2 linked regions of the Oreochromis niloticus genome follow. The main gene of each other region encodes a partner of the protein of the gene in region 2 in a complex. Links are inferred from orthologs where the notes say so. Each region holds a gene or a part of one and is shown on either strand. Other genes may lie near its edges.

Region 1 (3,919 bases), on a different chromosome or scaffold from region 2:
CATTCATTCATTCATTCAGACCGTGATTCTGCTTAATAAAACTCCGGAACAGGACAAGTAAAAACAACAACAGCAAAAAAACAATAAAAGTGAATAAACAGTTGATGTGTGGGGTCCTACTTGACTTTTTTAACACTGAGCCTTCTGAAGGGTGAACTGTGCTGAAGTTAGCTTTATAATGGAACATTTCAGTAGGTTTTCCATTTACAGCAATGTGTACATTTTGTTTTTATGTCCATGATGAGGTGTATGATTGTTTAGTATCTACATATAGACTCACTGCCACTTTGTTAGGTACTTTGTTACTAGTACTGGATTGTTCTTTACACCTGGTTTATGCTTCAGCAGGAAATCTACCTCATTAACTTCCACGCAATGTAACTTGCACTTCACGAGAAATGTAACTACGCGTTGGGTCGCAGGTTATGTTGTAGACTCTATAAAGATTCCCTGCAGAAGTCTATATCAGGCCTTAAATCATCCTGCTAGAGATTTAACAAGATGCTGGAAACATCCTTCTGAGGCTTTGGTCCATATTCACATGACAGCATCACACAGTTGCAGCAGATTTGTCAGCTGCAGATCCATGATGTAAATCTCGCATTACAGCACATCCCAAAGGTGCCGTATTGGACTGAGATCTGGTGACTGTGGAGGCCATCTGAGTGCAGTAAACTATTTGTCAAGTTCAAGAAACCAGTTTGAGATGAGCATTGTCACATGGTAGGTTATCTTTGCTGGAAGCAGCCATCAGAAGATGGGCACACTTTGGTCATAAAGGGAAGAACGTGGTCAGCAGTAATGCTCAGGTAGGCTGTGCTATTTAAATGATGCTCAGCTGTGCCAAGAAAACATCTCCCACACTTTCACACCAGCACCAGCAGCCTGAACCTTTGATACAAGGTAAGATGAATCCACATGATCACAATCATCTGTTGTCTACTTTTGGGAAACCTGGGTAAATTGTTGCTTCAGTTTCCTGTTCTCAGCTGACAGGATCTGCACCCGGTGTGGTCTTCTACTGCTGTAGCCCATCTGCTTTAAGGTCTGATGTGTTGTGTAAGATGCACTTCTGCACACCTTGGTTGTAATGAGTGGTTATACGATTTATTTTTGCCTTCCTATCATCTCAAACCAGTCTGACTATTCTACTCAACAAATATAGCTGCAAAGCTGGTGATGAGTGTAAATGCATTTGATAAATACTTTTATATTTGTACACATCTTTGACCACATACACAAAAATTTTAAATGTAATTTAACCCATGATACTGAACTGTAGGACCTTTTTAAAAAAAAAACAAAAAAAACCATATATCTTCGAATTTATCTTATAAAAAATACACCTTTCACTACCTTAAGACGCCAGAAATAGCGAAAAATGTGTTTTAAAAACAAATTAGGTTAGCATAATAAAACATTTCTCTAGAAAGTGTTCATATCAGCAGTGAAATGTATTAAAATCTGATCTTGTAATTGGGTTTACATCTTCACTTCGGATTAAATATCGGCACCGCATATTATTTTACATTTTTCGTGAATACATTTATGGCCTAAAGAAAATCAGCATAAACTGCATTACCAACACGAAGCCATCTTTGCTGTAGCTGCAGCCGCTCTGTGGGGAGGTCCTAATCTGGTCTAGCAGCTGGGAGCGTTTGACCACGTGACGCGAGAGCTGTTAGAGAGCAGCCATCACCATTTCACCTAATTCATGCCCAGCCTGGGAAAAAAGGTGAGAGCACAAGGAAGAGGAAAACTACGATGGAGTAGCTGAAGCCACTGAAACCGTGCCCGGTCTCATCCACCCTGCTGCCGCCTCACAACTTAACAAGGTGTGTTTGCTGTGTGCTTTTCCTCTTGTGTGTTTTTGTGCTTACTGTGTCGAAACGTTTGTTTCGCTTCTAGTGTTCCTCTTTACATCACATTTAAATATCTGATATAAAAAGAAAAAACAACAACGCCTGCAAAGCTTCCCCCCTCCCTCCCCAGTTTAGACATAGTAACCACTAAATTGTGTCGCTGTCTTCGTCCCCCCTCCTCTCCTTTATTAACATTAGCCATATTGTGTAGCTGCTTCAGCTAACGCCGACGGTTTTTGCTGTGTGTCGGATAACAAATGTTTCGCAGGCGGTCGAGTTTCGGGTAAACAAAGAAAAAAAAAAAACGAAGCTAAAGAAAGACCAGGGGTAAGAAACGGTTGACTCACGCGCTTCTTCTTCTGTTTGTAGTTGCGCGTGGACGGTTCCACGAGCTCGGACCACACGGTCGCCAGGTCCATTTAAAACTATTAAGCCCAGGCTGCTTCTACGGTAGCTAGCATGGCAAAACTCGGAGGAATAAGTGTTCAGAAGGCCTACATACGCTCATTCACAGTCTGCTGCTTCAGCTGCCAGCACGCTTTACTTTCACACAGTAAGTTTAGTTTTTATTCAGGCTGTTGTAGATGCGTGTTGGTACCAGTTTAGTCAAGGCCTGTAGGTAGTGGCACTATTGTTATACCTGTCTTCTCTTATGCCAATAGGCTTAGTCTGTCCTCAGTTTCAGAACGTGTGTGCTGTCTATTTAAAGCTGTTTAGTTAGACATAAACCAGTCAACAAAACCTGGATATTCTAACTTGAAAGGTGATCTTCATATGCCCGTGTAAGGTTGCATTAGTTATAGCGTTGTGCTAAATCGTGGTGATGACAAACTACAAAAAGTTAAAACACAGAACAAAGCAGACCATATTAAATTCTTGAGTGCACTCCTGTGTGACACACTGTCTTTATTAAAGCTTAACTGTATGTATTCAGCAAATCAGAAAAACAGGCTGTGGTTTAAGTTCAGGTGGGCCTGGTCCAAATTGAGCCTTACAATAGAAACAAGCATCTTGATGCATGTTCAATGATGTCCAGATGAACAGAATCAACTTTCCTGGATAGAAACAAGTGTTTCCTTGGCTCAGCAAATCCGGCGAGGCCTTTCCTTCTGCATTTTAATCAGCTTCAAACCAATTGGGGGGCCCAGGAACCCTAAACAAACCCAGGCTAGAATCCCAGCCCAAATACACCCCTCCACAAGCCATCTTTTATACTCCCTGTGGGTATGTTTGTTTTGAAGTCCAAATGAAATCAGGGACGACTCCTTATTGTTCTTGCATTTTTGATTTGCCTCCTAATGTTGCATGCGTTGTAAGGTGGCCCTGTGTGGTGGAAATGAGGGGGGGGGGATGGTAAACTCCTGGCACAGAGAGTGTGCAAATTAACATGTTTCACTCTCCATGAATGCTGGACAGCCATCGAAAAAGAGATTGTTTACATTCAGATGCTTGCCACCCGCTGCTTGCTTTTTCTTCCCTCCTTGTTTTCCAATCACTAAAGAGACATGACCCATTTAAATGGTTGTTTACTTGCATTAGAAGAAAGGCCAAAGCACTGCTCAATGAACTCTTGTCTACAATTCAATTAGAGTGGCCTTCCCTGCAGCACAATTTTCCACATTACACAATGCTCTCTACAGCCTTGCTGCAACATAGGCAGAAACGGGAAGCCCAGAAAGCTGCAGCAGTGACACCTGGGCCCACAAAAGTCACATATGTGTTTGGGATATTATTTCCAAACGTATCTTGCTACTGATTGCTTCTGGGCTTATTAAGGGAAAAAATGCTTCATGCTGTAAAAAAAACAGCATGAAAATTAAATTTGAAGACAAATTCTTCATTTTTCTTCAACAGTTATGAGAAGGTAGTCCATCAGGCTTTTATTGTCCAGTTTCTCTACTGAAACTATTTCTGCCTCAAAAGAGCTCCTGTCCAGCTGTGCTTCTCTAAAACTTGTTTTTTAAACCAGACATTTTATTACAGCTTTTCCTGTTGCCCTCTGACTAGACAGCCATATAATAGGAAATGGCTGGAGTTTTTCCTGTCTTTTTTCCCCC
Region 2 (3,919 bases):
CATCTGGTTTGATTGCACTTCCTTAAGACGAGCTGCTTCCGTGCAGTATGACTGAAATGTGATAAATACAGGAAGGCAGATGAGAGCACTGTACCCAGAAATAAACACAAAAAAGCCTCAAAGTACAAAGAATCATGGCGTCCACTGATCTGTGCACGAAAGGGAGACACATGAGCTCAGTGCAAGCACAACCTTAGATCCATTATATCCAGGAGGCTTATCATCTCATAGCTGGTTCACAGTCATTATTTAAAAATTAATAAATAAATTTGTTTGTAAACAAATGCATTTACGTAACTCTGACATAGCTGCCAAACTGATACGATCGTCTAAGCTGATAACCGTCTGACCCTGCTGACCGTCCGAATAACTGGCACGGGTGTGCGAAAGCATCGGAGACGTGTCAAAATGTCCCTGGGGATGCTCCTTCGAAATCACCGGCCTAACTATAACGCGAAACACATGCATTAATCTCATGTTACGCAGGTTTCTGATTGCCCGACTTGAGGAAAAGTTTGGCTTCCCATTCAGGAAATCTGTCACATTATATTTACCAGCAGAGGTACTTCAGCAGCTGAAGACAAAAGTCAAAGATTGATCTTTGGCTGCCTGCAGTCACCTGGGCTTTAGGTCTCCATTTGATCACCGCTAACGGAAGATAAGCGGAACAGTTTAATCACTGTTATCCAACTCCAGGTGCCGACGGTTGACAAAGTATGATGATCAGAACCTACCAATCTGAGTTGTGGAGTCGGATGAATACAAATGCTTTCAGCAATGAACCTTTTTTTAAATCTGCATAGTATTTGTCATTTTATTTAACAAATGTAGTGATCTGCCTTCAGCTGTACATAACTTTTAAATAACAATTAAAAGAGAACATTAACAGGAATTGCAAGGCGCTGACAGGAATTAGGGTATGTAAATAGTTTACAAGCACACTGGACACAGTGTTGGACTGCAAGCACATCAGCATCACCATAGCACCCAAGCCTAGTGCACAGAAAACCTGCAGTTTCTTTCATTGGACACTTAAAGCTGAATTAAAAACCAGCAGGTACGTCCATCTTTTATACTCTTACTCACTATACTTTTAGGGATAAGGACCTGCCTCGGGAAGTTCTACAAACTTTCTCAGACCACAGCACTTCCAGTTCTTTCTCTCTCTTCCCCGCTCACACAAATCAGCTCACCACCTCATCAGATCACCTCCTACCTCCCCCAATAATAGACGGTTCGCCCACTTTACTACATAATCAGCTGCCTATGGGCTCGATCTAGCATATCTGGCGCAGCCCAGAGTGCTGAAGCCCAGCATTACAGCCTGGCTTGTGACCAGTTTTCAAACGGCTTTGCTCGGCACTGCTGAGCACCTAATAACAGGATGTGGGGCTCCAACTGACAGGCTGGTCAAACTCCAAGTTGTGCTGCCCCAGGGGCATATTGTTCTGGGTGGCTATCAAATAGGAGAATGAAAGGTGGTCACAGACCACTTTGAAAGACACCAGAATACCATCCCCTTACCAAAAAAAAACAAAAAAACAAAAAGGGGGGGGGGGCATCTATTCCGAGAATTTCCGTGTAATTTGAGTGTTTTTTCAGTGTTGGCCAAGCTTCATATCAGAGTTCCTGCATGTGTCTGAACCACAGGAATCAGGCAGGACTGCGACATGATTTAAATCCAACAACAATGAATGTGCAACACACATACTGTACACCTCCACCCGCTCCCACCATCTGAGAACTGCTTTCATTTCAGTCCAGCAGAGGCTCAATTAAACCAGACACATGTATGGGAGGAATTTGGAGTGTAGGAAGGCAAGTGGTGTTCAAGTGCAACACACAGAAGCCACTATTTCCTTACAAAAATAAAAATAAAAATGCACAAGCATCAAGCATCCACCCATTTCCACATACAAGAGACTAACTTTCACTAATAGTTTTTTGGAAATACTTTTATTCCCAATAGAGAAAAAACATGACCAATCCCAAAACGAGCCTCCGAGTTATACCCATTCTGATGCTGAGGTGAATCTCTGCCCTCTTTTCCCCCGACTCACCTCATTGGATGGTATGTTCACGACACCTGTGGATCTCCTTTTTTCCCTTAGCTTCCTCTTCTCGATCTGTCCTTTCCCCTTCCTGGCGCTGGGCCCGGTGCTCTTCTTCTCCTTGCCCTTGCTGCTGGGTGACGGGCTTTCCTTGTCACTGTCGTTGCAAGCCATGGGAGTAGAGTCCTGAGTCTTCTCCGGCTGAGGCAGGGCCTTCTTCAGGTTGCTTCCCGGCGTGGCTGAGGGTGCCACGGGGTGGTGCATTTCCTCCTCGGGCCTCTTTAGAGAAGTGCCAGAGGAGGACCGAGCAACCGCGTAGGAGGAGGGGTGGCAGTTCCCAGCGGAGGAGCTTCGGTCCGGGTTGCCGTTGTTGGTGAACTCGGTGGCCGAAGGAAGAGGAGGAGGAGATGGAGGAGGAACGGCGTTGCGGCTGCTGTTTGTATTGCTGGCACCCAAGGGAGTACCAGTGGCTGCGGCAATGTCCCCCAGCATTTTGGCTCTCATTTTCTCCCGTTTTGCCTTCCACTCCTCCAAAAAGTCCGTCGCGGCGCTTGACTTGAATCCGCCTGTAGCCATGATCCCTTTTTTCTTATAAGTTCAAAGTCGAAGTGAGGAAAAAAAGTAACTTAAAAGTTGAAGTTGATATGAATTTTCAGCTCTCGGCCACCGTCCTAATTGCACCACATTCCTCAAGTGATTAACTCGGGAGCTGCTGAAAGGTAGAATGAAAATAAAGTCAGGACAAGTAAACTTTCAGCTGTTCATTATGGAGGCGTTCTCACCTCCACCTCGCGATACTCAGCGTGCAGGACGGGTTTTGTTTAAAAAGTAAGTTTACAAAGTCTGTTTATCTCTAAGGTAACTTTCCGCCCGAAAGAAGAAAGTCAGAGTGTGGAGAAGTGGACGAGAGAACAACAAAGGTCTAAATTCAGGTAGAAACTCACCTGAGTGGAGCTGTCTCGGTCGCTGAACTGCTCTTCACGGTCCAACCAGGTGTGCCCGAGCTGCTCTCACATGAACTGCTGTAGTCTGCGGAGCTGGGACCCGCCGTGCTCGCTCTACTCCTCTGAAAACACCGGCTTGAATCCCGAAAGTGCGCGAACACTTCCGACTGAAGCCGAAGCAGAGAAGGGGCGCTGTGTAATAACTCTTCACTGTTCCCACAGGTGCTTTCGGGTTTAAGGTTATTTGTTATAGCTTTTACAATACTTATCGGCGATATTTCCATAAAGATAAAGGTTAATATAGTTGTGTTAATTATTTTTATGATAACATTTCTGCATTTTCATGCTTCCTTATATGTAAGTTGTGTAAAGTGTATATGTACAAAGTTTCAAGCAGCCCAGATATTTTTTTTACAATTGTTTCTGTTGTTTTTAAATCATCAGTTATTTTATTTATCTATTTTTGTATGTGGATTCTTTTCTGTTTGCCATTTGTTATTGTTGCACAGGGGAACATATTTCTTCACTGTGAGTATGACAATAATTTTCTATAATTTATCTGTCTGTGTTACAAAAACTAGCCAAGACCAGTAAAATGACTGCAACCACTCCTTCCCTTTCTTTAATAAGGGCAAAGAAAGGAAAGGATTGCTTCCATTGTCAGTTAGAAATTTGATAAACATTTTCATTTGTATAAGATCTGCATTCATGCTCTTTAAATTAACTTTTTATTACCTTGCGGTAAGAAGAAAAAGTGTAAAGAAGAAGCATTGTCCCCTTTGATGAGCCACCCATTTACCCATTTACAAGAACATGATTAACAGCTTCGCAAGAATAAGGTCTGCTGTCATAACATGTGCATGTGTATTTAACAGTGCAAAAGCAACAACTCTTCACATGTACAGTTTCTTTTGTAATAAACAT

The links.
Region 1: the proteins of pawr (region 2) and spsb1 are in contact, whole or in part, in a crystal structure (PDB 2JK9), measured with the Homo sapiens proteins. The link is inferred for Oreochromis niloticus from reciprocal best matches to the Homo sapiens genes PAWR and SPSB1. Residues at the interface, in NP_001341661.1 of Homo sapiens: Glu68, Leu69, Asn70, Asn71, Asn72, Leu73, Pro74; in NP_079382.2 of Homo sapiens: Arg77, His78, Pro79, Val80, Ala81, Gln82, Gly110, Thr111, Tyr129, Val216, Trp217, Gly218.

What each region holds. Positions count from the first base shown.
Region 1 is NC_031984.2:21,424,405-21,428,323, reverse strand, and holds the start of spsb1 (SPRY domain-containing SOCS box protein 1), read left to right. Parts: upstream 1-1,665; 5' UTR 1,666-1,835; intron 1,836-3,919. UniProt on the Homo sapiens protein: Substrate recognition component of a SCF-like ECS (Elongin BC-CUL2/5-SOCS-box protein) E3 ubiquitin-protein ligase complex which mediates the ubiquitination and subsequent proteasomal degradation of target proteins.
Region 2 is NC_031981.2:15,987,714-15,991,632, reverse strand, and holds the start of pawr (PRKC apoptosis WT1 regulator protein), read right to left. Parts: upstream 3,206-3,919; 5' UTR 2,996-3,205; intron 2,764-2,995; 5' UTR 2,628-2,763; coding exon 2,061-2,627; intron 1-2,060. UniProt on the Homo sapiens protein: Pro-apoptotic protein capable of selectively inducing apoptosis in cancer cells, sensitizing the cells to diverse apoptotic stimuli and causing regression of tumors in animal models.